Linked DNA regions of Cricetulus griseus. The protein of the gene in region 4 interacts with the protein of the main gene of each other region in a pairwise test. Links are inferred from orthologs where the notes say so. Each region holds a gene or a part of one and is shown on either strand. Other genes may lie near its edges.

Region 1 (7,460 bases), on a different chromosome or scaffold from region 4:
CACACACTCACTCACTCAATATGTAGCTTGGGCTGGCTTTGAGCCTGTGGTCCTCCTGCTTCAGCAGGTATGGGCCATTACACTTAATCCTCATGCCCAGTTGCAATAAATATATTCTGGTTTCTTCTTTTGCCTTCCTGTCTAATTCAGTCATTTTAAATCAGATCTCCCATTTCCCCTGGAACAACACCAGTGTTACCTACTCATGACAACTTATTTCCTTTAGCAAAACCATAACTCAAAATTAGCAACAAAATAGCATGAGCATGGAGACTATGGCTGGCACACAGCAGACTTTACACAAGGCTGGATGCCCCCAGATGTGGACTCCTGTGCTGATATGCACCCACACGTGCTGACATGTGCCACATGTGCCCTTTTCCCTGCCTGCCAGCAGGCAGGCAGGGAGACCCAGGGCTCGCACTGTCCACATTACATTGGCTCTGTAACAGAACGGTGTTGTGGCTGTATAGCCATTAATAGTATCCTTCCTCTCAGCTCTACAAAGGAAACTGAATAGATGCTAAAATACTTGGCAAGGCCATCCCATCTGTGTGATGCCCAGCCCTGCCTCTTTCCCCCCCCCCCCTCAGGGTTTCCTCTGTGTAACTGTAGAGCCTGTTCTAGAACTCACTCTGTAGACCAGGCTGGCCTTGAATTCACAGAGATCACCTGCCTCTACCTCCCCAGTGCTGGGATTAAAGGCATGCGCCACCACCACCTAGCCCAGTGCCACTTCTAATACTCAACCTTTTCTGGGGGGCCAGATGAAGCCCTGGGGTGACAAAAGACATTTGAGAAGCAGTGGTGCTCTAGCCACAAGATGCACAGGAGAGACAAGGGAGAAGCAGAGAGTGCTTAGCCTAAGGCTCACTGAGAAGGCCCAAGCTGGGTGGTGGGACAGCCACCGGGCTTGATGAAGAGGTAGTGCCTGGGCTGAGCCTTCCAAGGGGAGGCAATGAGGTCAGGAATAGTCACCCACAACAGCTGCCCAGTGGGACCTAAGAATAAAATGGCCCAAATCTGGGTGTGAGGAAATACACCTATCATCTCAACACCAGGGAAGCTGAGGTAGGAGGACTGCTTTGAGTACCAGGCCAGCCTGGGCTACATACCAAGACCTTGTCTCAAAAATCAAAAACAGGCCAGGTGGTGATAGCATACACTTTTAAGTGCCAGCACTGGAGAGGCAGAGGCAGGCAGATGGATCTCTGTGAATTCAAGGCCACTCTAGTCTACAGAGAGAGTTCAGGACAGGTTCCAAACTACACAGAGAAACCCTGTCTCAAAAAACAAACCAACCAGAATATGACAATTCAAAGTCCAAGTTTCCGGATACCTGAAGTCTGGCACACCTCATCCTTCTCCAGAGCCCTAGGAGACAGAGGCTACCTCTTCTGGTCTCCAGCCTTGTTCCTGCTCCAGGTCATCAGTGCCTCTCACTCAGCAGTCTGGGCTGCTGCTGGGTGAAGGGCAGAGGAAGGACAGCTGGGAGTGCTGTGTCAACACCTGTCCACCTGGTGGGACCCAAAAGCACCCTGCAGCCTTCTGCAGAAGCACAGGCTGTGGGTTTTTGGGATTCAGCCAGCAGCCAGACCTTTGGAGGCTGAGTGTCCCATTACTTTACCAGGCCCGGCTGTAACCTGAGATCTCAATCTCTAGATCTCAGTGGGTAGCTGCAGAAGGCCAGCAAGGAGCTGAGAATAGCTCTAGCTATGGAGTTAGCATGCCCAGGAAGTTCCTCTGAGGGCATAGATTGGGCCTGGGGCAGGAGGCAGGGGTGCTGGTGGCTGGTTCACAGGGCTGACTCTTGCTGTCTTGCATTGCATGCCCTGGGGCAGTGACAAGGAAACCTGCCTGCTAAAGAAGCAGCTATCCCAACCCCACCTTGCTGACTATCTTAGCTCCAGGCTGAAGGTAAGACATCCTCCCAGGCTCTCTTCCAGCTGTGGTTAAGGGATAGAGAGACAGGAGTGTGTGTGTGTGTGGGGGGGGGGGCTGGTGCCTCCCCATCTGCCTTGAGTCATCTGCGACTATGAGACCACAAACAGGAAAAACAAAACAAAACAAAAAACTGGTAAGAGACTGGGTATGCAGGAACTTGCCTACAGTCCCAGATCTTACCTGGCTAAAGCAGAAGGACTAGGAGTTCAAATCCAGTCCATACTACACCATCTGACCCTGTTACAAAAAACCCAGGGCTGGGGATATCGCTCAGTGTTGCTTGCCTAACACATGCCAGAACCTGGGTTCCATTTTCAGCATACCATCACTTAAAAAAAAACAAACAGGGTTAGAGAGATGGCTCAGTGGTTAAGAGCATTGTTTCCTCTTCCAGAGGTACTGAGTTCAATTCTCAGTAACCACATGGTGGCTCACAACCATCTACTAATGAGATCAAGTGCCCTCTTCTGGTGTGCAGGCATACATGCAGACAGAGCAGCACTTTCATAAATAAACAATAATAATTAAGAAAAAGCCACTGAGCCACCAGATAACCCAGAGACCAGAAACTGCTTTGGGCAGAACTGGCTTGTTCCCTTGGAGCTGGCATGTTGCAGCCCACTGGTGCTGCAGACATCAGGGAACAGGACAACCATCACCTGTGATCTGTGACAGGGCCCTGGAATTCACTATTTACACCAGACTAGTCTTGAACTCACAGACATCTGCCTGCCTCTGCCTTTGCCTCCTAAGTGCTGACATTAGATCATTCTTTTTTTTTTTTTTAAGATTTTATTTATTTATTATGTATACAACATTCTGCTTCCATATATATCTGCACACCAGAAGAGGGCACCAGATCTCCAAACAGATGGTTGTGAGCTACCATGTGGTTGCTGGGAATTGAACTCAGGTCCTCTGGAAGAGTAGTCGGTGCTCTTAATCTCTGAGCCATCTCTCCAGCCCCGATCTCCTTCATTCTTCTTTTTTTTTTTTTTTTTTTTTTTTTGAGACAGGGTTTCTCTGTGGCTTTGGAGGCTGTCGTGGAACTAGCTCTTGTAGACCAGGCTGGTCTCGAACTCACAGAGATCCCCCTGCCTCTGCCTCCTGAGTGCTAGGACTAAAGGCGTGCGCCACCAACGCCCGGCTCTCCTTCATTCTTAAAACAAAACAAAACAAAAAAATGCTCTGGGGGCTAGAGTAATGGCTCAGTGGCTAAGAGTACTGGCTGTATTTCCAGAGGACCCAGGTTCAATTCCCAGCACTCACAACCACCTGTAACTCCAGTTCCAGAGTATCCCATACCCTCCTTCTGGTCTCCAAAGGCACTAGGCACTCAAGGCACTCACATGGTATACAGACATACACACAAGCAAAACACTCAGACATAAATTAAATTCTTTAAAAAAATGTTCTACAAGGTATTTTCTTTTGTTTGTTTTGATTTTTCGAGACAGGGTTTCTCTGTATTGTTTTGGAGGCTGTCCTGGAACTCACTCTGTAGACCAGGCTGGCCTCAAACTCACAGAGATCCGCCTGTCTCTGCCTCCTGAATGCTGGGATCAAAGGCGTGCGCCACCAACGCCAGGCTCTACAAGATATTTTACCCCAACTGAATGTAGTAGCCATCCTGCCCAGGGGCTCCCATTGCCCTGGAAGGGGGATAACAGTTCACAGAGGAGGCACAGAACAGTGAAGAGAGACTTAGGATTTCAGTAAAAAGCCCACTGCAGACACAGGCAGAAAACTTGGAGCTGGGGCTGAAAAGCCCTGGCTGACAAGGGGGCAGAGACAGACCTGGGAACCAGGGGACACCTGATTCTGAGTGAGCATCCCTCCCACTCACCCAGAACTGCTGTAGGGCAGCAGAGGGAGACCACATAGGTGCAGCTGTGTGCTTTCGCAGGAAAGCAGCCAGATCCCCCAGGTGACCCTGGGAGGCTGAGCTAAAGCCACAGCCCAGAGAGGAGACAGGCATCAGCAAGTAGAGCAAGGGCTAAGCCCAGATTTGAAGGTAATTCTGGCCTCCCCATGGAAAGCTAAGTAGAGGATGGGGGTCAAGTGAGGACCAATGCTGCCTGGGATATGAACCCATCATGGATCTGCAACTTATCTGCCACCTCGAGGGAGGAGGGATGGCATTGATATCATTTAACACTTGATGGGTTTCAATGTGGGCATGAACTCCGAGTGAACAGGGACCTAAATAGGTCTGGGTTGTAGGGGCTGGCCCTCAGGTAAATACCATCACTTCACAATTATTGCAACCCAGCTGTGCAGGCTCCTGCTGTGGCTCCCAGGCCTGGCGGCTGCTTGCCCAGCATGCCCAAGGCCCAGAGCTCCATCTCCAGCACTGTCAAAATGAAAAACTAAAGCTTAGAGGGGAAGGGAAGAGTCACAGGCCTGAAGGTGGTCCATCATGCTTCTGCAGGTAACTTCCAAACCTATGCTTAATAAATGTATAAGTTTTTGCAGTTTCATTTGCTTTGCCAGGAATCAAACCAGCACACTGATATAAATGATACCTGACATTTTTTTTCTTTACAGTCTTGTTATATAGCTCAGGCTGGCCTTGAACTCAAAATCCTCCTGCTTCAGACTGCGAAATACTGGGATGAAAGGCATGGAACACTATGCCAGGTTACAGGATTTTACTGTGCACACCCTACATATCCTACCTTGAGTTAGGACTTTTCTAGGCATCTTCTGGTTTAAACCTCACACTACCCCATGTGGTGAAGCCACTGGCTTGCTCCCCTGATTGTGAAGGCACCACAATGCAGACAAGGGAAGAATTGGCCAGAGCCTCAACACGAACCCAGGGAATACCACACAGCCTGTGGGACCCTGGGCCCCCTTGGTCTGCAGGACAGGTGCAGGAACCCTTAAAGGTGGGTGAGCCTCAGCTTACCTCTTCCTGTAGCGTCTCCACCTCAGCCACCAGGTGCTGCTGCTCCTTCTCCTGACCCATCCCAGAGAGGATAGAATCAGTTCCAGTTCCCACCCTATCACCCTCCCTAAACAAGGAATACAGTCAGGGCCTTTATCACTGAGGAGTTGGGCTGAGGGCTCATGAGGGGTAGCAGGTGGGCCTGGGGGTGAACAAGACCTGGAAGTAGGTAACCTTTGCCCCTTCACTTCTGCCCTTTTGCTAAAGCCAGATATACCCTACTAGCACTCACTGTGTGCCGGGCCTGGGCCATTAGGCTGCGATTCTGCTCTTCCAGGCTCTTGGCCAGAGTCTTCAGGTCCTCTAGTTCCTCATCCAAAGCCTTGGCCACCTGCAGGGCCTGCTGGGTGCTGATGGGTGGCACAGATGTGAGAGGAGGCAGGCAGAGAAGCAGAGCAAAACATCCCAGACTATGAGGGGAGACTATGACAGACACAAGCTGGAACGAGGGGCACAGGGAACAGAGAGAAAGGGACAGGGAGCATGCAGTGTGGGGTGGAGACAGTGTTCACTTTTCATCTGAGGAAGAGGTCATGGGGTCACACAGCAAAGAAAGGAAGGGGGGAAAGAATGAGAACAAGAGCTGCAAGTGACAGTCAGACTGGACCCTTTTGGCTAGACGACAAGACCCAGATAGAAGGGAATGAATGGAAGACATGGGTTGGGTAGTGGAGTGGCTGCCTGTACCTGAGGCCCAGGCTCTTTGGTAGCAAGGCAGATAGCTACTCACCTTCGCAGCTGCTTGCGCAGGGCTGAGATCTCCTCTCCTAGGCGTGCTGAGCCCTCCTCTGCAGTCTCCACGCTGCGCTGCAGCTTGGCGTTCTCACCAGCAAGGCGGCGGTTGCTGAGCTCTAGGTCCTCTAGGCTGCTCAGCAGCTCAGCTGTGGCAGGCCTGAGGGCAGAAGGGCCTGGTCACCAACTTTGCTCCTGCTCTCATCCCCCTAGTCTCCTCCTAGGTGGAGCAGGTGCTGGCAACTAGGACAAGGGTTCCTCTGGAGACAAATCAGAATCAAATTCCAAGGCTGTCCAGAGCCAAAAGACATCAGTCTCCCCACTCCCAGGCCCCAGATAGGCTGGAGAAGATGGAGTGGGATGGGGGTGGGAGGACAAGCACCCCTCAGGCCTGGGGTCTTCTCCTCCAAAGCTCTCTAAGTTGGCTGGCTCCTCTGCTTCTGGGCATGCTGGAAAGACACAGACAAAAGGAGGTTAGACTCTCCGGTGACTTTAAAAGTTTGGGTGTCAAAGGACCCACGAATTATCCCAGGATTCTGGCATCCCAGTTTTTCCATATGTAGCTTTGGGGTTCCCTGGGCTGAATTACTCTTATTACATAGGCTTCTTGCTTATGCTTGCCTGGGGCTCAGCCAGGTATTCAGAGGGGCACCTTCACTTCCCCAAGCCCTCTTCTCCCGTTCCCAGCTTCCCTCAAGTCTTCAGGCTTCTCAGGCCCTCATCATCTGCCAGTTGCTGGACTTCAGTTAGTCTGATTCTATTTCCAGCCACGTTCACCCTCACTCTACCATACTCTCTCTCCCTGGGCACTCCCCAGCCTCCTCCTAAGCCTCCTTTCTCTCTTTGTCTTTCCCTACTTGACCTGGCCTGCCCCTTTGCTGCTCATATTCCTCCCTGACCCCCAAGACTGAAAAAGCCTCAAGGTTCAAGAGAATGCCAAGAGCTTGGCATGGTGGAATACACCTTTAATCCCAGCAGCCAGGAAGCAGAGACAGGGTGATTTTTATGAGTTCAAGGCCAGCCTGGTCTACAGAGTGAGTTTCAGGACAGCCAGGGCTACATAGAGAAACCCTGTCTCACAAAAACCCAAACTGAAACCAAACCAACCAAACAAAAAGAGAATGTCAAGAGGGTTGCAGTCTGGGTTCTGTAAGGCACTTTTTAGTGGTACACCTGTAAGGTGTGAGGTCCTGGGCACCCAGTGCCCTAGCATAGGGCTGGGATACAGCTGTCATGGAAAGGCAAGCAGGTGTAAGGTGTGTGGGGGTAGGGGTGGGCAGGGCCAAGAGGAGGAGCCTAGTTGGCCAAGACTGCCCTGAGCCATGCAAAGATTTCAATATTGTAGGTGCCCTAGGGCCCCTCAGCTGGAGAGCAAGGAAGCTGCAGTCTCAGCCTCTACAAAAAGGCTGGAGCTAGGAGGAAGGAATGGAAAACCTGACCCCAAAGTCCAGGATGAGGGGACTGTCCCAGAAATCCACCACAACTGCAGGCTGAGCAAAAGCCCCAGTTGTCTCTTTAGTCCTTGCTGTGTGGAATTAGTAGATGAGAGGTCCCTGCTAACCCCCCTGCTGACCCCTGCCACCCGTCTCCTTCTATAAATAGTCTCACCAGATGGCAGGTGTGGAGAAGCCAGGGCTCCCCCGAAGGCAGTCTCCTCTGCTCGCTCTAATCCCCTGTATCAAAGGCAAGAGGCTCAGGTCCCCTGCAGCCACCACAGCCATGACCCGTGCCTGTAGGGGTCTGGGTGGCGAAGGGGCGGGCAGTCAGTGAGAGTGGCTCTATGGGTGGAGGGAAAGGCCAGATGCAGGGCCTGGGCTGTGAAGGGCAACCCTTC
Region 2 (7,186 bases), on a different chromosome or scaffold from region 4:
GGAGAGACTAGGCAGCATGAGAAGGCTGTGGAGGGGACAGCACACCCTCCCTTGCAGGGCTCCTGCTCCCACAGGCCAGCCCCAACATGTGAGGGAGAGCTTCTTGCTTTAAGAGGGGTGATCTAGGAACATGTGCCAAGGCCTACCCGAGTTTAATGTGACAGCTGCAATATGCCACTGTGGTTAATCACGATGTCCCTCAGTAACAGACCATTCTCCCCCATCCATTTACTATACATTTTTAACATTCTAAAAGATCATTATATTATGCTATATTGGTGTGTGCATTTGTGTGTGCATGGGGAGGGGTATTTAAAGGCAAGACCTGTGAGATGTCATCATACATTAATTTCTTTTTACGCATGGTTATGATAAATTTAAATCCCATGATGTGGTGGATCCATCAATCCAATCTGCCATCCTTCGCATGCAGCCTCTACAAAGCAATCTTCCCTATAATGACACCAACGATAAAGAACAAAACCACCAGAGCCAGCAGCCGGGCGCTGAGGCCTTCCTCCTTCCCGGTGGCAGCCAGAGCTGCCATGGGGCTGTTGCTCTGCAGCGCCTTCCTCACCCGGAGCCCGTCTTCTTCCTAGGGGGAATAAGTGCACATTTCAAAAGCACATCATGGCTTGGCAGACGTGATCCAGCCACAATGCAAAGGCACATGGAAGCCTAGAGAGAAGCCACTGCCAGGACCCTCCTGGACTCAGTGTTCCTTCTACCAGAGCTGCTGGCTCTCTGCTACCACCAACTTGAAATGCACTCTCAGCTTCCCATGAACAATGGGAAAAGCTCTTGAGGGGGGAGGAGAAGAGGCTCTTTGGCCATGTCTTGACCTCTTCTCTGCCTACCTCCAGATCTGACGTCTGGCCTGTCCTGAGCCTACAAGTATGTCCAGTCAACTCATCTCTGCCTGAAATCCCAGGTATTCCCAAGACACAAACCACAACCAACTATTCAGTGGAGGACCTGCATGAGCCTGGCAAGAGATCCAGGTGCACTACCGAATCAAATAACCCTTGGAATTGGAAACACATACTGTGTGCAACTGCTGCCACAGCTGGTAAAGAGAAAACCTTCGTTTGCCCACTATATATACCTTACGACGAGTTCATGGCTTCTCATTTCCAAAGAGAGCTGCCAGGCCACCCCCACCAAACCCCTAAGACAGGTCCGAGGTATCTGTCTTCCACCGTCCCTGCCTGAAGGACCTGCAGGATCCTCCAGTGCCCTTCCCGAGCGCCACAGCTCCGCAGGGCCAGGCCAGGCCGCTCCATGCTGAGGCCTCCCACACAGCTGACACTCCACCCTTCCCCTCCACTTCCTTATCTGCCAAGTGCCAAGTGCAGTCTTCCCATGATCTGCAGCTCTCTGTGGGCCCACTAAGGACATGGGCTGTAACCATCATTGTCTCGTCTCTCCCTCAGCCCCACTAACAGGAAGCTCCCCAGGGTAGCCTGCTCATAGCTGAGCCCGAGACGCCTGGCACACGGCAGATCTCACTGAACAAGAAGCCAATGTCTGGCAGGATAAAGCATGCCCCCCTGTCAAGATGGCTCTGATATTATTTTAGAGATATTCTGCTCATGGGCAAGGCCAGCACCGCAGCACGGTGATGAACGAGCTGCAGTGTTCAATTAACTTTAAAAAAATGGGCACAGCAAAATACAGCATTTATTTTATTGGGTTTACATAGAAGCTATCCCGACCTATAGATCATTGTAAATGGTGCAGAGCTCTATTTCTGAGGAGAGACGCACTCAAAGAGAAGCTTTTGCAAACGAAGACGCTGAGGCCACTTCCAAACTGTCACCCTCCTACATCTACCTTAGAGCTGGGGTGCAGGGGAGTTGGCTTAAGCGAGTGTGCTGTGTACATCTGCTGCCACAGCAGGCAAAGAGGGGAAACCTATTACATGCTTGGCTGGCATCATCAAGATTAAGAACAAATAGGCCTCAAAATTTAAGCTGCAACAAAAGCTCCTATAATCAGATGCCCGGGTATATATCCACATCCAAGACAGACAGATCCACAGTTCTCAAGCTAGAAGGCAACCGGAGAGACACTCAACAAACAGGCCTAAGAAATGGGCCTAGAGTGGACAAGACTGTATGCAAACTGTATAGCCGGCAACATAGGTTGTTAGGCTGAGGGTGTCTGACCTCCCCAGCACAGCCTGGCCAGATGCATGCCTTGGTTCCCCCTTCTCACCTCCACCTCTCTACTGGGCCAACACCGTGCTTTCTTGTTACCAAGCAGCCTGAGGAGCTTCTACTGCCCGGACCCACATCAGAGGTTTCAAAACTCATTTCCCTGTGTTAAAATAGTATGGGCATGGGGGCTGGAGAGATGGCTCAGAGGTTAAGATTACTGACTGTTATTCCCGAGGTCCTGAGTTCAATTCCCAGCAACCACATGGTGGCTCACAACCATCCCTTATGAGATCTGGTGTCCTCTTCTGGTGTGCAGATATACATGGAAGCAGAATGTTGTATACATAATAAATAAATAAAATCTTAAAAAAATATATAGTATGATTTGGCCCCCAACCAAGACCACCCAAGGGATTGGCCAAAGCGGGGTCTGACAGTGAATATTCAAAGAGCTGGCTCAACTTAGACAAATGGAGTGGGGATGGGTCTGGCTCTGAGGAAAACAACAGTTGGGCAGGTACAATCCAAACACCCTTTCAGGAGCCCCAAAAGAAAGCTCTGCAGGTGAGTCTCCTGGGGAAGTAAATGCAAAACAGCACACCAAACCCACACTGCCCACAGAAGCTGCTCAGCAAGGGCGAGCGGGCGGGCGAGCAGGCGTTACCTTGAGCTGCCGGCCTTCCTCCCGCAGCCTCTGCACCTCCCCCTGCAACCGCTTGCACTCTTCCATCACTTTCTTCACTTCGGCGTCATCGAGGGACGACGTCAGGGACTTGGCAGCTGCCGGTGCTTCTGTCTTGGGTGCACTTGTAGGTGTGATTTTATTTATTTCTACATCGTGCTGCTCAGAAACAAAGGAAAGCCCAGGGTCACCAACTATGTGAGCAAGGATTTTATGCAAAGTATTTCTCAGTACACAGTACATGAGGTAGCATTCCATCCACACTGTAAAATGTCACATTTATTTTTTAAATGCATCACTTTATCTAGTATCTTGATAATCTAAAGCTACCAGGCCCTAGAAACTATGGATAAGGGCAAATAATGAAGCTGGGCTGAGGCGAATACTTCAAGGAGGAGAAAAGGGCTGTGCACACTGCACTATCAAATTCCTGCCATGCAAAAATTAACATACTGCAATTGTGCAAGCTCAGGAATTATCAGCTGCAAATTACCTTTGCAGGAGAGCTGAGCATCCCAGGCCGCTGGGGGTGGGAGGTAGGAGGCCTAGAGAGGACTACACATGGACCACCTTACAAGCAGGGATGAGGACGAACAAGCTTTGAAGGCCAAATGTGTTCCCCTGCATAAAAGGAGTCATGGTACCCTCTTGGAGGATGAGCCAGTCAGTGGAAGCAGGGCTAGGAGCACTCAGAATGGTGGCCTGAGGCTCTGGGTGGCAATCTGAAAATCAGACACCTAGTTCCAGCCCCCTTCACCTCCCACAGAAGGGAGAGCCTTGGAGGCCAGAGTCCAGGCTGGAGCCCAATTATCAGGGGGCTGGGGGTCATGATCCATGTTCCCTGCTTCTAACTTTCCTACAACAGGGTGATGTTCTCTCTGATTCAAATAACCAGAGATGGCTGTAGCTGATGATAGAGCAGAAGAAACCAGGCAGTTCTGACAGCAACCAACAGCATTCTTGGGCTCCTCACAGTCATGTGTAAAGACACTGTAGCGTGCCTTGCCTTCCCAGCTCCGTCCATCACTGGCAGAGACCTAAAGATCACCCACGGTTCTTACTTCTTGACACAATTTTACCTTTTCCGGCTACTTTGAAGGGAAGTGTACATCAGTATTTGAAAAACCATCTCCTGTCTTCTGCTGGTCCCCAGTGAGGGCCCAGATTGGGGCAGTAGATGTGTAACAACCTCCATGAAAATCTGGGGGTACTGCTAGTGTCTAGGGAGCAGGGTCTGGGACAGTGGGTGCTCGGTGCTCAATATCCCACACGGCACAGGATGTAAACACATGCCAACAACAGTGAGGCCAAGAGACTCTCATCTCAAGGAGGACCGGCACTGAGGGAGTTGGTGGGGAGCAGATGCTGAGGGGAATACTGACAGGATGCTCTGAGAGTTTACCACCTGTCTGAGCGCCCTGAAAAAGGGCCAATCACCCCATTCTGGTCTCCCCACTTCACCAAGCAAAGACTCCCTGGGATTCTGACTGCAGCTGCTAACAGGTTACTCTGCTCAAGGGGAAACTATTTCAGTTGGCCATTTTCTGCAAGTCTTTGCCAAGGTTGATGTTATAATACCAGCTTATCTGTTGACTTCAGCTGATTTTTTTCCTTCATACATTAGAGGGAGGAAAATAATTTGCCAGTTTAAATCTTTGTTTCACAGGAGATGGCATGCAAATGAGTGTCTGCCTGCAACGTTCGATTACTGTTAACTGGAGACATACTTACTGGTTTAGCGTTTTCTGCTGGTAATTCAAACACACATCTAAGTTTTGAATCCATAAGGTCTTCCGGCTTTGCCTCCTTCCACTAAAACAATTTAAATTTAATAATCAGGGTATTATCAAGCTGCTGGAAGAATAATTCTCCTCCTATAACTGACAATTTCAGAAAAATACTCTTAATGAGAAAGCCCTGATGTATATCAAATAAAGAACTTAAGTCTGCTGAGACTTCAATATTTTTAACATGACAAGATTAAATGCACTCGCTCTCCTGAATATTTATCACACTTTGCAAACCCTGCAGTCTTGCTGCCTGGCTCCTTAGGGCCGCCTGCCCAAGCTTGCCTGTTTCTACTTCATGGGCAGCACAGGTCCAGGAAGCATTCTCTCCTTAAGGAACTGGAATCTAAAGGACAGGGTACCCACTCCCTAAAGAGCTGGAGGAGGAGGATTTGGCTGACCAGTCAACCACCAGTGGGGCCCATTCACCACAGAGCCATTCCACTACTGCATCAGAATGGCCCTGCCCACGCCACCCCCACCCACCAGTGAGGGCTAGGTTCCTCACTAATATCCCCTTCTAGACACGGGGAAGGGGTTGAGAATGACAGGTCAGCAAAGCAGCAAGGTGACAACTGAGAAAAGGGAGGCACCCACCCTCACCCTTCCGACCCTGCATAGCAGCTAGGGCAATCGATTTCTCTGGCACCACAGCACTGCCACCCTAACCATGGCAGAAGCAGTCAACAGGATGGCACACTAACACTCACGGGACACCTGAGAGCACTGAGCTACACAGGAACACGCCAATGCCACACTGTGCATGTGTGCCCATGTGTGAGTCAGAGGGGGTCATGCAAGGACCAGTTCCAGGTTCTTAGTGGCTGGTGACAACAGTCTCTGAGAACTGCCTACAAGCCACAGGGCAGACAGACTTCCGCAGCACCTGCACCAGCTCATCAAACTGCACCAAGAACAAGACTAGCTAGCAAGCAGTAACATCACCTGAGTATGGGTGACTCTTGTACCCCCGTATCTGAATCTGAATTTAATGATGACGATCCAAGAGGTAAGATTCATGCTCCAAGCCACATGACCTGGACCCTAAAGCCATCAAACCCAAGGTGCGGAAGAAACTCCTCTGCTGAAATACCCAACGGGCACTCTGGAGTGCTCAGAGCACTGCATGGGATTGCCCTCTTTAGGGTATTGACAACCCCAGCTCACTGTCAACTGCACACAGTTAGTTCTATGTCAGTGAAGAATGCCTGTGCTCTGCCGGGCTCAGGGTAGCCAGTCAGTGACCTTCCTCCTACAGGCAGCTAGCACAGGAAAGTCTCTGACAGCTTAGTAGCAAATGCCCACACAAGACATCGAGGCCAAGGTAACAAGGCACTGCTCTCAGCTTCCTGCACACTGTCAGCTCAAGGGCAACACAGGCTCTCCCAGTAGTTGGACCTGGTGTGGGAGAACTGGCAGTCACCTCCATCCAAATCAGCTTTTACTCAGGTGGTCATGGACAGTGCCCTACAAAATGTGCTGTGCAAACACTTAAAACAGTTACAAAAACAACCTGCTGAGAAACAGAAGGCCCCTTTATCAAGCTGCAGCATCTGGCCCCTAATTACTCAGGTGAAGAGTCAGACATGGGCACACTCTCCTCAAAACTCTATGGACTGCATTCTTATTCCCAATTCGCAGGTTGCTAAAACCTCAAGAACAATCAACACAACCTGCCCAAGGCAGACCAAAGCCTTAGTAAAGGTTTGCTTCAGATCAGGACAGCCACGTCCTTGCCCTCTCAGCTACACCACCGCGGAAGCCAGACCAAAGGCACAGCCTGTAGACGTCTACCTTCAGTGCCTGTCATGTGTTCCCTTCATCACACAGACTAACACAACACAAGTCGGGAAATGAAAGGGCAAAGAAATGTCTCCAGGGTTAGTCTTATGACAAGGTCTTGCTCCAGCTCAATACGTGACTTAACCTTCTCTTTCTGCCCCCAAGGTGCAGGCACCAATGAAGGAAGCTGGTTCTGCTCTCCGAAGCCCAAAACAAAGGCTACATGGTGACAAGGGCAGGAGACAAGCTTGGCACAGAACATCCCTGATACCTTTGCCATCTACGGGCTGGCCACATTCTGAGGACCACTGCCCGCTGGGCAGAGCTGCAACTGGCAGCACTACCTTTGGGGAGAATTGCCACTCTTCTTCCAGAAGAAAAAAATATTGTTTACTTATAAAAACAGGGGCATCTTAATTTTACCAAAATTCGAGACACTGTCAAACATGTACTCATATAGGGGAAGGGGGAATGGAAATGAAGGCAATTAGAGAGCATGGCGTGAAGCGGACTGTGGGTGTGAAGAGGGCTGTAGGGTGTGAAGCAGACTGTGGGTGTAAAGAGGGCTGTAGGGTGTGAAGCGGGCTGTGGGTGTGAAACAGGGTAAGAGTGTGAAGAGGGCTGTGGGTGTGAAGAGGGCTGTGGGTGTGAAGAGGGCTGTGGGTGTGAAGCAGGGTAAGAGTGTGACAAGGGCTGTAGGGTGTGAAGTGGGTAAGAGTGTGAAGAGGGCTGTAGGGTGTGAAGTGGGTAAGAGTGTGAAGAGGGCTGTGGGTGTG
Region 3 (7,460 bases), on a different chromosome or scaffold from region 4:
GCAGGAAAAATACTCATACACATAAAACAAACAACAGCAACACCGATTGCAGCCAGGCATAATGACACACTTGGTACCCTAGTACTTAGGAGGTAGAGGCTGAGGAATCAGGAGTTGGAGGTTGTCCTCAGCTACTTGGTGAGTCTGAAGCCAGCCTGGGCTATTTGAGATTCGGTCTCAAAACAAAATAAAATCTACATAGATTGCTGCTCCCTCCCTCCTGCAGTAAACCCAGCTCTGGGCCCGAGAATAAGCATTTTTTGTTTTTGTTTGTTTCTTTGAGACAGGGTTTCTCTATGCAGTCCTGGCTGTCCTGGAACTCCCTATGTAGACCAGACTGGCCTTGAACTCACAGAGATCTGCCTGCCTCTGCCTCTCAAGTGCTGGGACTAAGGACATGAGCTGACATGCCCTGCGAGAGAGAAAAAGCATTTCTAACAGGCTGAGAGGCAGATGCTGTGGAGCACATCTGGAGAGCTTCTGCCCTGTATAGTCTTTCTTAAGATCTCACCAGCCTGCCAGATGTCTAGAGTTATGTGCAGTGAAGGACAGCTGGGAAGCCGGCGACTGGCAGGACAGTCCTGGGGAACATTTTGGAGTATCATTCCGACCTGGTTCTCTCTCTTCTCTCCTGCCTCCCAGAGTCAGCCACCATCTTTAGTGGGATAGGTGGGACACAGGGGGTACCACTCACCTGTTGGCATTCTCTAGGGTTTCCACCTTCTTCCACAGCTCATTGTTCTCTGATGTATATGTCTCCACCCTGGAAGGCCAAGCAGGCAGAGGCTGAAGGCCTCCCCACAGACTCACTGGCCCTGCCCTCCGCCTACTGCCACCCACTGCCTGCAGCTGGGCCTCTGACTAAGGACAGCACTCTGCCCATTCTGGAACACTCACTTCTTTTCTAGGCATTCCACATACTCCTTCTTCTTGCGACGGCTCTCCTGGGCTGAGATCTAAAGAAGGAAGTTCCAAAGCAAGGGTTACCATTGCCATGCATCCACTTCCTAGGTGGTCCCCAATTTTAGAACTGATGTCACCAGGCAACAGAGGTCCCTAGAGTCTTAGGGTAGGGATGGCTTTAGTCTTACCTTGTTCTTAATTTTCCTGCGTACCCTCTTCAAGGCCTTCTCCTCAGCCTTGGTGAGGGGGAGTTTGGTGGGGATGGGGTAACCCTCAGCGATCAAGGTTCGCTTCTCCTCTTCTGTCAAGAGCAGTGGCCCCGATGTCCCCTGTAGTTTCTGAAGAAAACAGGCAATTTGGGGTTCGAATTTGAGCACTACTGTGTACTCAGCTCTCTGAACCTCGGTTCCCCCTTGGAAAAGGGGAGGCATCTGAGTTAAGCCCAGTAACATGCATCGAGTGTCAGGGGGGCTTTGGGAGGCCCCTTCCCCGCCCTATACTAGAATCCGTGCTCTCATTTCCCCAGGTCTTCGGAAACAGGTCCCTCCCCATAATCTCAATTTAGGATATGCCCTCAGGGTTTGGGTCTCTTTCCATGTTGCCCCCAAACAGTGCTCCTTGGGGATAGCCTGGGTCACTGCCAGAGTACAGAAATGTCAGGTTCTCAGCTCCATGACAGTATGGCTTCTAGGCCTTTCTGGAACCTTTGATTTCTAGTCATCCCAAGGCAGAAGTGAAAAATGCCCCCTTACTTGCCAGAAGGGCATCTCCCTGTATCTAACGGGATAAGTATCAGATGTGGGGTATCCTGACCCCTTCACTGGTCATGGCACTAGCTGAACGTACTCCTTATCTCACCTCCAGGGTCAGCCCACCCCTAGGTGCTTACATGAGGGGCAGTGAGGAGCGGAGATGTGGAAATGGCCGTGGAGGAGCGGGCCATGGGCCGGACAGGGCTGGAGGGGGGCAGAGAGCGAGGACTCTGGGAGCCATCACTGTCACTGCCATGGCTGCTGGGGGGTGTTGGAGGCATCTGTACGAGGTCCTCTGCAAAAAGTAGAGGGCTAGGTTAGTATAGTAGGGTTGTACCCTGTGTCTGTGTGACACTGAGTTCAGCTGAACATGAGCTGTGCCAGCCCTGTCACCAAAGGAATGTGCCTATAGGCACTTAACCTCGGCTGGAGTATCAGAAGGCCCTTGGCAGTCCCAGGAAGACATCTGGCACACAAAAAGATGACGGCTGAGTACTGCCTATCTCTGATAGCTCAGAGGAAGCCCCCTGCAACCTCGATGAGGGGCTCCTGGGCCATATGCTTCCCTGCCTGTGGCTCTGCAGGATTCAGGTTCTCTCTAAGCCAAGAGGGGACTAAGGTCCCCACGCAGATCCACCGGGCTCAGGTGGACCAGTCCTTACCCTTTCCTTTCTCTGACTCTAAAATACTGATCCAATCTCAGGAACAGGATGGCAGGTGTCGGGATTGCAGCAGAGTGGTGAGGAGTGATGCTCCTCCTCCACACCGTCCCCTTCATGGCTAGAGCAGCAGGACGACTGACACTGAGCAAGCATCAGAAAGAGGTGTCTCAGGCTCAGCAGCTAGCAGAGATGCTGGGAAAGTTCTGGGGGTGGCACATAACTCCCAGGTAGCTCTAGGTGTGGAAACCTGGGCTCCATGGCCATGGAGTGGAGGGTTTGGCGCAGGTTGGCACCCACATCAGGCCTCTCTCCTTCCTCTGATGCTTGTGTGTCTCTTATGGATCCCACTCCAAAAAGAATGAAGGGCTTGGAATCCACAGACCTGAGATCAAGTTCTGACTGTAATGACTCCAATACATGTGGTCTTGGTGAGCTCCCCAGCCTCACTTCCCTCATCTACTGAATAAGGTTGAAAAAAGTCAGCTCCAAGCCGCAAGGGTGCAGTGAGCTGGTAAGTGGGGGAACTGCTTTAGGAACTCCACAGTACGAGGTGACTTAACACAAGTTCTTTCTCACGCCTTGTCTGTGTTCTGGCTGCTCTTCAACATGTAAGCACCAACAGTATCTTATTCATATGTCCAGTTTTACAATACTTAGCCCAGGGCTTGACACATGTATATAGATGTTGAATCAGTATTCACAAATTAATGTGGTGAGATTGGAATGATTCTGCTACCCTTTCTCATTCCAGTAATTCACAGAAGCTGACCATGCTCCCTCGGCCCAATGAGCTGTACAGGCTCCCTGTGGATTTGCTATCTGCACACCCATATCACTGCTGAGTCTGTGACCCTAGGAACCATGTGATCTACTCGGGTACAGAGACTGTCTTCTTTCTTTGCTTTGGCAATGCCTGGAACAATTAAGATGGTACCCAATAAACGTTGGTTGGACGGATAGATAAACGGGTGGGTGTTTAGGTAGATGGTTACATGGGTAGATGGATGAATTTATGGATATTTGGTGGATGGTTTGATGGATATATGGGCATATAAATGGTTGGTTAGTTAGACGAATGGATGAATGTGGAGATGGGTGAATGAGTAGATGAATGTATAGATGTGTGGGTGGTAGAGTGAGAGATGGATTCATAGATCGATGGATAAGTGGATAGACAGATGGGTGGATGGATGGACGGATATTTGGATGGATAAGTGGGTAGATGGGTGGATGGATAGTTAGATGAGTGGATGGTTGAGTAAGGGATGGATGTATGGATGGAAGGAAGGATGACTGACTATAAAGTGGCCTTCAGTTTGTGAGTGGATGTTAGAAGATCAGCAAATGGACTGGCGTTGGTAGAACGATGGCAGCTGAAGACTGGGTAGAGAAAGACTGGAGGAAAAAGAGGGAGCATAGATAGCTAAAGAATTCTCATTTACTGGGGAGGTGAGAACATCTGGGAGCGAAGTGGGAGTTCTGAGGGACAGGCGTGGTCTGGACAGAGGGAGTGCCTGTCTGGGATCAGAAAGAGTCTCCTGTACATACTTACCTGGTGTCACTTTGAGAAACTGGCTCACTTCTGGGGGTTCTGCTTTGATCACTGGCAGCTGAGTCATTTCTCCTGGGGCCTGAGGAAGAGACAGGTTCAGCTCCATCACCTGCCCAGGGGAACAATCCTCATCATGTCATTCACACTCCTCCCTCCCTCCGGAATATTTGGAACAACGGCTGGTCTCAAGAGTCCTGGGCTCAGCCCAGAAAGAACAGAGAGGCAAGTTCTTATGCTTAGACAAGCCATACTACACCCAAGAGCAGAGAAGGTGGCTACACACTGTAGGTGAGAACTGGATCTCAGGAGGTATGCATAGTTCCTGTGGCATCTGGGGCCATGCCAGCTTCCAGGTAGACAGAGGCTGCCCCTTCACCAACTATGAAAGCCATGTAGGCCTTGGTATGTGGTTACCATGAGCACAGGAGGTCATGTTAGTCTCACTCTAACTGTTGGATGAATGAGAAGAATAGTTCAGGAGGAATTAACTGGCTAAGGCTCAGAGAAAGTTGAAACATGACATGGATCCTGGGACACAAATTGAAGTCGAGTACATATAAGGAAGCTTGCAGCAGTGAGAGCCCTTGAGGGGTTTCAAGTAAGGCACAGGTGAAAACAGATGTACATTTTTTTTTTTTTTTTTGAGACAGGGTTTCTCTGTTTTTCTTCGTGGCTGTCCTGGAAGTTGCTCTGTAGACCAGGTTGGCCTTGATCTCACAGAGATCCGTCAGTCTCTGCCTCCTGAGTGCTGGGATTAAAGGCACAAGCACCACCACCACCCAGCTCAGATGTACATTCTTATTTATTTAAATTCCAAAGTATTGTTCTAGAAAGGGCTTCAGGAACATGTGTGGTTTTGTACATGTGAACATCACCAACATGCCCGTTAATGGTGATCTCAGTGAGGAGGCTGTGGCTCTTGGGATTGTCTCTCCCCACTGGGTCTGCTGGTAGCAGAGATCACTACACTGTGTGAGGGACAGAGTGATGAACTTAGAACAATGAGGAAGAATCAGGGATAGTGCTGGGTGTCCAGGAACTTGGCCATACCCTGGTCTACACCCAGCTCAGTGTCAGCACTACAGATGAGGGGACTGTGATGGAGAGTGGCAGAGGCACTTTAGTGGTTCATATGGCTCTCTACAGACTGGCCCCAGTGGCCTGCACTGGTTATAGTGGGAACCCTCCACTCTAGGGTCTGACAGACCAAACTTGGAAAGCGGCTTCGAAATTTCTGACTGTGATTTGTGGCTTAACTCCTGGGAGCCTCCGTTTCCTTTTCCACTGTGATCCCTTCCTCCCCCTGACTTTAGCTAAGCCAGTTCTGGAATCCCTAAGGATGTAGCTGGTTGTCAATCAGCTCCCTGGAACCTTGGGAGCAGGAAGGGTGACCTTTCTTGCTTAAGACTGCTTACTTTGAACCCAGGTGGTCAGCAGGAGGCAACCCCCCTGCCTAGGGATTAATGTTTGTTTGTTTGTTAAGCTATAGAATTTTAGGCCTTGTGGCTTGCACCTTTTACATGGAAGGAAGCTGAAGAAAAAAGAGAGAAGGCAATGTGAGGTTCCCTATACACTCTGGAAGTGGACGTAGGGTTTGTTATGAGTGCAGCTTATTAATCTAAATACAGACTAAAATATAACACTATTTTTTGCATTTACATGTTCATCTTTCTCCAAATCCTGAAACTTAACAGGAAAGGAAGTACCCCCGGGGTGGGGGGTATCTTGACTTCAAAACTAACCTCAGTCCTGCCTGGTGCCCTTCAAGCTTTCTCTGCATGCAGGGAGGGCCCAGCATGCTTGGTGGGCACTGCTGTTTGTGCCTACTGGAGGATGGTAAAGGGGTGGTCAGTGTGGGAGGCAGAGGACCTTAGTCCCCAAGGTTCTCAGTTCATGGAGCCCTGGAGTGGAGTCCAGGACATTGGGTGTCACTCCCCTCTGTCTCCCCTCAGCCTACTTCCCTCCCTCAGCCCCATTAGTGGTCCCTAGGCTCACCTGGTGAGGGATGGGCAGCCTGGAGATGGGGCTGACACCCAGCAGTGGTGGGGTGGCCATAGCGGCAGCAGCAGCAGCCATGGCAGATGAGGCAGCCAGAGGGTCAACAGGCAGCTCTGGGCTCTGCTCCTGCTTCACCATAATGGAGCACAGTTTGTGTCCCAGTGCCCACGCTCCACGTTCCACATCTGGGGGAAGGTGAAGTGGGAAGGACTCAGGTTAGGGGCTCCCAGAGCAGAGAGCTCTGACCAACTTCTGCCTGCTGGCGAGTACCCTTGACAGAGGAGTGATGTCAGAGTGCCCATCTGGGTATGGGCAGGAAAGCTGGGGCACTCTGGTGAAGTGAGATGGGTCCGCTGGAACCAGAAGTAGCAAGAGCATCTTTGTATCTAAATGCTCACCAAATAGGCTTGGCCACAGCATCTAGACCTCCCCTGACTCGCTGTGTGACCTTAGGCAAGTGGCTGACCCTTTCTGAGTCTCAGCTTCCTCATCTTTAAAATGAGCAAAGGGGGGCTGAGGAGACGGCTCAGTCTGGAAAAGGTCTTTCTGTGCAAGAATGAGGACCTTTGTTCAGATCCCCAGCACCCATATAAAAAGCTGGGCGCAACAGCGTATGCCTATCAGTCCAGTGATGGAGGGATGGGCACAAGAACACCTTCAGGGCTTGCTTGCCACCCAGTCTGGCCAATCAGTGGGCTACAGGTTCAGTGAGAGACCCTGTTTAAAAAATAATGGGTGAGTGACTGAGGAAGATACCTACCATCCATTTCTATGTGTGTGCGCGCGCACACACACCCACACACACAATACAAACACATATGGGGAAAAGAATGAGGACATGAAAAGGACAGACCCAATTGGGAGGTTTCAAGAATGACTAGTATAATGCTTTTAAACACTAAGTACAGTGCCTGGCTAGAAGTGAATGCTCATTAAGCAGTAACTAGTGTTAACATGATTATCAGTATTCAGTAAACACTGCCCTAGCGAACAGCGTGGCAACAGTTGGGCAAGTACGGTGGAATCAGAAAGGTTAGCAGCTGGCGTGGCCTTGGGAGCTGTCCTGGAGCTGTACCTCTATCCCAAAGTGATGAGGAGCCACAGAGGGGTTTGAACATGCTGGGACTCATGAGTTTAGATTTATTTTTATTATGTTAAAATTGTGTGTAAGATCAGATGTGTAGCCTGGTCTATAGAACGAGTTCCAGAGAAAGCAATACAGAGAAACCTGTCTCAAAAAACAAAACAAACAAACAAAAGAGCAGGTGTGTGCAGAAGAGGGCATTGGATCTCCTGAAGCCAGAGGTACAGGTGCTTTGTGAGCCACTGACATGGGTGCTGGGAAATCCAACTCAAGTCTCCTGCAGCACAGGCTCTTAACCACCCGGCCATCTGCAATACTTAAATTTTTTTTTAAAGATTTATTTATTTATTATGTATACAATGTTCTGCCTACACGCCAGAAGAGGGCACCAGATCTCATTATAGATGGTTGTGAACCATTGTGTGGTTGTTGGGAATTGAACTCAGGACCTCTGGAAGAGCAGCCAGTGCTCTTAACTGATAAGCCATCTCTCCAGCCCCAGATTTTTA
Region 4 (6,748 bases):
GGCTGAAACAGTCATGTAAATCTACATACATGGAGACTATATGGCATACAACATTTTTAAAAAACCTAAGAATAATGGCAGTATGTGGACACATTGTTTTTGGAAACCTACTTCCCTGAATGAAAAAAAAAATTCAACCTACAAGTATGATTGTGTTGAAGAGCCAAATCTGGGGTGACTTTCACGAAACTTTGTAATGAAATGGAAAGTATAATTTCCAAAAAAAATTTCCTTGAAGATTATGATAATTTTTTACAGAAAAAAATGAATAGTGGTGGGAAACGTTGAAACTTTAAATTCAGCCTATGTAGGGGGGTGGGAAACTTCCTAGATTAAATGTTGTCCACGTTATTCTCCCTTCATCCCAAAGACAATACAGTACCCTAGACAGGCAGAATGGAACACAAAATAGTCAGCCCATTGCCCCCCCCCCACACACACACACAGTACAGACAGAAGAGGCCTGTGAGAGATGGTGTCAGAGAAGGCTCCAGGGGTCCCATGGAAAAAGGGCCAGCCACTTCTATTTAGCCTCTCACACTAGTCAGAGAATCGGCAACACTCTGGGCTGGGAAAGATGAATCTTTCAATTGGCTAACTTGTTTGTATCCCTGTGGTGAGTCCTCCTGGGGGGCATAGAGACAGTAGTCGGCCACACCTCACAAAGCAGCCTGGGGGCCACAAGTGTCCAGGGCATTGTCCTTCACTCTGGCCTTTGCTAGACAAGCTGGAAAAAGTCACTGTGCTTGGGCCCCAGCAGAGAAAATCCACCCTATGTGCTCAAACAGACTTCCCTGGGGTATGAGACCACAGCCAGGAAGCACTAATCTGTGTTTTTTAGTAAACAACCTACTTCTACTTCCCCTCTGCCCCTTGCTCCCCTCCCCTCTTGGCAGCTGCCCCCGGTCTGCCTTCTCCCTGCGGTGGCTTCACTGTTTGTCTCTAGCTTTCATGATCACTCATGCTCTTGGAGCCCTGGACTGAGATGTGCCAAGTGGTAAAAGTTCTTCAGGACTGGGCCTGGCCTCTGGCTAGGCTCTGCCCCACTGGTCTTCCAGGGAAGGAGGCTGTGTGTAGCACCGGGGCCGACCAGAAGGTAGACACAGCACACCAGCATCATGTGGGAGCCCACAATGAGATCAGCCAGGTTCACTCCCTGGTCTGACTACCTTTTCCCGGCTTGTAACTTTAAAAGCTGTTACGATTCTTTAGTGCATGCGTGTATGTGTGTGGGCATTTGTGTTTATGGCACACACGTGTGATCAGACGACTTGCAGAAGTAGGTTCCTTCCTTCTGCTATGTGGGTTAGGGGATTGAACTCAGGCTCCTCGGACTTGGTAGCAAGCGCCTTTACCTACTGAGTCATCTCCTCAGCCCAGGGAAAAAATTCTTGGCAGGAACAGACTAGATATGTACCCCAAGCTCTGCACGTTTGACCTAAGGGGTAGATTTTGCAGGGTAGAAGCAGGCCCTTTCCCCTTACATAAAGGCAACCTGGCTACACCCTCCCTCTCTAGCTTAAAAACCCTTACTCTATGAGAACTGGATTTGGACAGAAATGCGAACTCATCTAGCTCCATCCCACTTCCCTACCCGGGTAGGGAAGTGCTCCATTTATCAACAGAGACTCAACCCAGGGGTATCCCATAGCCCAGTTTGCCCACAACAGTACTGTTTGCTGCCTTGCTTCTTTTACTCTCAGTTGTCTTGGTTTGGATCATAAATTACCTCATCATCCTACTTCCAGTCAAAGCCAAGCGGGCCATACACACAGCTGCCCTTCTGTGCTCTGGTCCTTTAACCACAGAGACATCTTCCACACTCTTCCTCAGAAAGAGAAAGCCCAGGCCTACCTCAAATCCTTGCTGTGGGGGGACCTGTACTGATCCTGACACTTCCTCTCCCTTCTGTCCCTTCTACCAATGACTATGTCAGGAGCTGGGACGTGGCTCAGTGGCAGAGCACTTGCCTGATGAGGGGGAGACCTTGCCACCTGCAAAATAAAATAATAATTGTCTATTTCAGTCACAAACACAACAGCTGGCGGTGGAGTCCTGCCAGGGTTGTTACATATCAGATGTACACCCGAAGCTCTTCAGGGGCAGGCACAGGGACAACTGCCAGTTTCATCTGTTGTCTGCTCGCTCACACTCCTACACTCCTCCCCTAGGCTCCCACAGCCTGCAGTGTCTTCCTACTGTCTCAGTGTACTTGCTTTTCTATCTCCTCCTAGGTTGGCTCATCCTCTCTATTCTGCCATTCTTCTTGGCCCTTATCCTCCTCCTAGACCTGACCTGAAGCACTGCCCCTCAGCAACACTTTCCTATCAGCAGTATGGCCCTTGCTTCTAAGCACTAGGAGGACTTTGTTTTAAGCATGGACCACGTTTTGACTGATGGCATGTTGGCCACTGCACACACGACCTGTCTCTCCCCACCTCAGTATTCTGTCTGAGGTCAAGAGTGCATTTCTTGAAATGCAAAGAACAATGCCTGCCACATGAAGAAGTCACTGTTAATGGAATGGAAAGGAACAAAACTGACAATCCAGTCCCCCCCCCCCCAATTTCCAGGGTTGCTCAATGCATCAGTCACTCATTCTTGGTGACAGCAGAAGTGACTCTGGGAAGGCATTGTTAACATTAGTTCCAACACAGCCTGTCAAGGGATGGATCTGTGTTAAGAATTTGTGTGTAGCTCCTTGAATAGAAAGCACGTCTTCCCTCAGCCACCCTTGCCCCTCCTCTTGCTATCCCATGCAAGTTGACATCTTGCACACCTTTATCCACGAACCTTCTCCTTCCCCTATGTTCACAAGGGGTCTCTGAGTTCCTACCTCACGATTTAGAATAGCAAATCTGTTGTTTTGTTAGGGGCCATTTTGGGTCATCTTTTGTAAGAGGTTAGGCCCCTGTTTGACTTACCAGCAAGGTTTTGAAGGATAGGGACGGAAGAGGGTTAACCCAGGAACCTGGGCCCTTTCCAGCAGGGGACTCCAACTAGGACTTCCCTCTCTAGCGTTAACCCTTCTGCACTGCTCTGAACCAGAGCAGAAGTGCCGCTCCAGGTGACACACCTAGACCTTTTGGTCTAAGAGTTTGCAGGGGAGAGGGGAGGAGGCAATTCTTAATCAGGAATCATTAGAGGCTGCCTCAACCTCTAGGCCTCCTCTGTATGCTACCCAGCAGAACAAATTAGAGACAGAAGATGAGGCATTGTCCTCCTTTAGAAGCCCTTTGTGCCTGGTCTGTCTCCTCCCCTCTAAACACTAGGAAACAAAAGCAACTCCTGGTGAGAACCGAGAACAGGTTAGAGTTCTAGGGCACTCATTGCCCCTTGAACCCCATATTAAACCCCCCCTGGCCCAGATAATAGGCCAAGCACCCAGAAGTGATGAGCCATCAACACTGAGTGGCCACAGGTCTCCCAGCCCTAAGGACATCTCCTCACAGTTACCAGTCCAGCCCCAACTTGGAAGCCACCATTTCCACCACAGAGGTCTGCCCCTCCCGGCCCACACTCTTCTCCCCCTCCACCTTCCTGCTCACCCCTTCACCTCGGCCTGGGGTGGCAGGAAGGGAGGTGCTGGGCACTGGCCGTGAAAAGCAAACTCCCTTCTGCTCAGAGAGAACTGCACTGCTCCAGGGTGCACGCAGGTCCAGTGACCCTAGCCATGCAGTTCACCGAGGCCTGGAGCCACAGCTGGGGCACGACGTCCTGGGACTATTACTACTATTCGGGCTCTGGCTCCCTGGATCCAATAGAGCTTTGCCCGGCCTGGGACCTGCCCTATGGCCACGCCATCATCCCTGCGCTCTACCTGGCGGCCTTCGCCGTGGGTCTGCCAGGCAACGCCTTCGTGGTGTGGCTGCTGAGCGGGCAGCGCGGGCCCCGGCGGCTGGTGGACACCTTCGTGTTGCATCTTGCTACCGCCGACCTGGGCTTTGTGCTCACACTGCCACTGTGGGCCGCGGCGGAGGCCAGGGGCGGCCTCTGGCCCTTCGGCGACGGCCTGTGCAAACTCAGTAGCTTCGCGCTGGCGGCCACACGCTGCGCGGGTGCGCTGCTGCTGGCTGGCATGAGCATGGACCGCTACCTGGCTGTGGGCCGGCCGCTTAGCGCGCGGCCACTGCGGAACCCGTGCTGTGTGCGAGCCGCGTGCTGCGGCGCCTGGACTGCGGCGTTCCTGGCCGCTCTGCCCGCCTTGCTGTACCGCGGGCTGCAGCCCAGCCCCGACGGCGTGGGTAGCCAGTGCGCCGAAGAGCCGTCGGATGCGCTCCAGGGCCTCGGCCTCCTGCTGCTGCTGCTGACCTTGGCGCTGCCGCTGGCTGTCACCCTGGCCTGCTACTGCCGCGTGTCGCGCCGCCTGCCGCGCGTGGGGAGGGCCCGGAGCAATTCGCTGCGCATCATCTTCGCCGTGGAGAGCGTCTTCGTGGGCTCCTGGCTGCCCTTCGGCGTCCTGCGCGCCATCTTCCACCTGGCGCGCCTCCGGGCGCTGCCGCTGCCCTGCGAGCTGCTGCTGGCGCTGCGCTGGGGTCTGGCTATCGCCACCTGCCTGGCTTTTGTCAACAGCTGTGCGAACCCGGTCATCTACCTCCTGCTGGACCGCTCGTTCCGCGCCCGGGCCAGGTTCGGGGTGTGCACGCGCGCCGGGCGCCAGGTGCGCAGGATCAGCTCAGCGTCCTCGCTCTCCAGGGATGACAGCTCGGTGTTCTGGGGTCGGTCCCCAAAGGTGAACTCTGCTTCTGCCTGGTAGCCTGGTGCAGATGAAGCGGCCGGGCCGCGGAGTTCCAGAGAGAGACGAGAGGGGACGGAGCTCCAGAGAGACGAGGGGGACGGTGCTCCCAGATGCGCCCCGGGGACTGTCCATCAGCTTTCTCAGAGCTGGCTGCTAAGACTGGCTGTTCTCGAAGGCAGGCCAATTGGTGTGGGAAGGGTGGGCGTGTTTCCTTAATTTTCCCCAGGGCAAGAAAGGCTGTAAACACCCACCTGGAGAAGAGCTGGTTCTGCTCTAGATGTGAGGGAAGCGGGTTTTCCTCTCTGCTTCATTTAGTAGCTCAACCCAAACTTCCAACCCAGACTCTAAAAGGCCCTTCTTGTCCCTGACTATTCTTGCTCCTGCAAAAGCCTTTGCCCTCTGAGAAATTTTTTTCTCCGTGCCAGTCCTCTAGCAATGCCACCTCAAAAATGTTCGGTAGAATGAGAGGAGTGACAGCTCTCTTCGCTCTGGTCATCTTCGAAGCTGTATTGCCTGAATCCTTTCTCATCCCCAATTTGGTTTTTCATTTTCAAAGGCTCACCCGGGAACCAACCCCAGTGTGAGCTACCCAATTTGGTTCTTCCCACCTGTTCCCTCAGAGTACCTACCCTGCTGTGGTGATCCTTCTCTCCTCTGAAGAAGCCTTCTGGCCTTCCTTCTGATTGCTGGAATCTGAAATTTTTAGTGGGTGCTCAGATTCCCCATCGCTGAGCCAGGGACCCCAGGTTCTTCTGTGAGCTCACATCTCAATAATAATAATAATAAGAAGAAACCATTTGTTAGCCGTAGTTGGCAACTGTTTCTTGACTTGAACAGCAAGAGTGAAATGGGTGTCAGAAAGTGCGTCTCACAGTCAGACAAAATTCAATTCAGAAGTTGAGGTACCTCAGGGTGATGGTTTGTGTGATGTGGGGATGGGTTGAGAGGACCAGCTGCACCTGTGTCAGTGTGGTACTCCCAGGAGGGCAGAGAACTGCTTATTCTTTTAAAGACATCTCACATATTGAAGGTTGCAAGATGAAAGAGGAAAAAAACTGAGGGTGTACAGCATCTGCCTGCCAGGTGTCATTTCAAAGAAGAGATGTGTAATTTTGATTTTTAAATGTGGTCCAGGCTTTCCCCCATTTTCTGGGAGCCCTTCCAGTACAAATGTTTGGAATTAACCATTTCAGACTCTGGTTTATCCTTTGAGGCTTCTGGAAGGCTTAGAAAGGAAATGTTTTTAGAGGAGTTGGCCAAGAAACGTCTTGATCGGTGAGGGAAGGTGATTCTGTGATCAGGCTGTTCCTGAGAACCACGTCTGCACAGACTGTGGATTGTGTAGTAGCCGCAGAGACTGATGCTTCCTTGCTAGGTTAGATCTGGAGACGGGCATCTCTCAGGATGTTTAACTTCCTCTCTCTTCATCTAGCACCACTGTGTTCCCTCTAGCATTTGAGACTATTGGTTTGGAGTACGTTTAGCCCCACAGCCCACCTTGACCCCACCTTGCAACTGCTCTTGTCAAAAACAACATCACTGCATGTCCCCCTTGAGTGACAAGGCTTGCAGCCTACGGGTTACCTGGGCCAGCAGCAGGGTGTACTTCAGGTATATTCAACTCTGAGGGCTTGTTTATTTCATAGTCCTTCCTGTCCTCCTATTGCTTTCTGAGGTGAAGGACCCAGGGCTTCCAGAACAGGGGCACTGACCCTAGTGTGTGTCTAGACAGAAGCTTACAGAGCAGGTATTGCTCTAGGCTAATGGGACAGAGCTCCCCTACAAGTTCCTCTCTTCTGTCTCAGCCGAGCTCCCTGAAGACAGACAGACAGACAGAAGACTCTTCAAGCCCATGGGAAGTTTTCATCTCCCCTCCTGCAGTGCTTACCGAAAATTGGCGTCTACCACAGCATAGAACTATGCACAGAGAGAGGAGTTCCCTCTCTTCTGGTGCTGCACTCAATTGGGCTCCGTGGAGGATGAGCCCCCACTTCCTGGTGAGGGAGACCA

The links.
Region 1: the proteins of Gpr25 (region 4) and Kash5 interact in binary tests that used the Homo sapiens proteins (3 or more experiments, as listed by UniProt). The two-hybrid records come from large-scale screens. The link is inferred for Cricetulus griseus from reciprocal best matches to the Homo sapiens genes GPR25 and KASH5.
Region 2: the proteins of Gpr25 (region 4) and Vapb interact in binary tests that used the Homo sapiens proteins (3 or more experiments, as listed by UniProt). The two-hybrid records come from large-scale screens. The link is inferred for Cricetulus griseus from reciprocal best matches to the Homo sapiens genes GPR25 and VAPB.
Region 3: the proteins of Gpr25 (region 4) and Creb3l1 interact in binary tests that used the Homo sapiens proteins (3 or more experiments, as listed by UniProt). The two-hybrid records come from large-scale screens. The link is inferred for Cricetulus griseus from reciprocal best matches to the Homo sapiens genes GPR25 and CREB3L1.

Annotation. Positions count from the first base shown.
Region 1 is NC_048599.1:154,083,856-154,091,315, forward strand, and holds part of Kash5 (protein KASH5), read right to left. Parts: intron 7,300-7,460; coding exon 7,235-7,299; intron 6,076-7,234; coding exon 6,009-6,075; intron 5,787-6,008; coding exon 5,625-5,786; intron 5,245-5,624; coding exon 5,127-5,244; intron 4,907-5,126; coding exon 4,856-4,906; intron 1-4,855. UniProt on the Homo sapiens protein: As a component of the LINC (LInker of Nucleoskeleton and Cytoskeleton) complex, involved in the connection between the nuclear lamina and the cytoskeleton.
Region 2 is NC_048599.1:5,228,329-5,235,514, forward strand, and holds part of Vapb (vesicle-associated membrane protein-associated protein B/C), read right to left. Parts: intron 4,654-7,186; coding exon 4,573-4,653; intron 3,001-4,572; coding exon 2,824-3,000; intron 596-2,823; coding exon 437-595; 3' UTR 1-436. UniProt on the Homo sapiens protein: Endoplasmic reticulum (ER)-anchored protein that mediates the formation of contact sites between the ER and endosomes via interaction with FFAT motif-containing proteins such as STARD3 or WDR44.
Region 3 is NC_048599.1:84,747,923-84,755,382, reverse strand, and holds part of Creb3l1 (cyclic AMP-responsive element-binding protein 3-like protein 1), read right to left. Parts: intron 6,053-7,460; coding exon 5,865-6,052; intron 3,949-5,864; coding exon 3,870-3,948; intron 1,951-3,869; coding exon 1,793-1,950; intron 1,242-1,792; coding exon 1,092-1,241; intron 957-1,091; coding exon 898-956; intron 764-897; coding exon 695-763; intron 1-694.
Region 4 is NC_048598.1:53,012,505-53,019,252, forward strand, and holds Gpr25 (probable G-protein coupled receptor 25), read left to right. Parts: upstream 1-3,673; coding exon 3,674-4,756; downstream 4,757-6,748. UniProt on the Homo sapiens protein: Orphan receptor.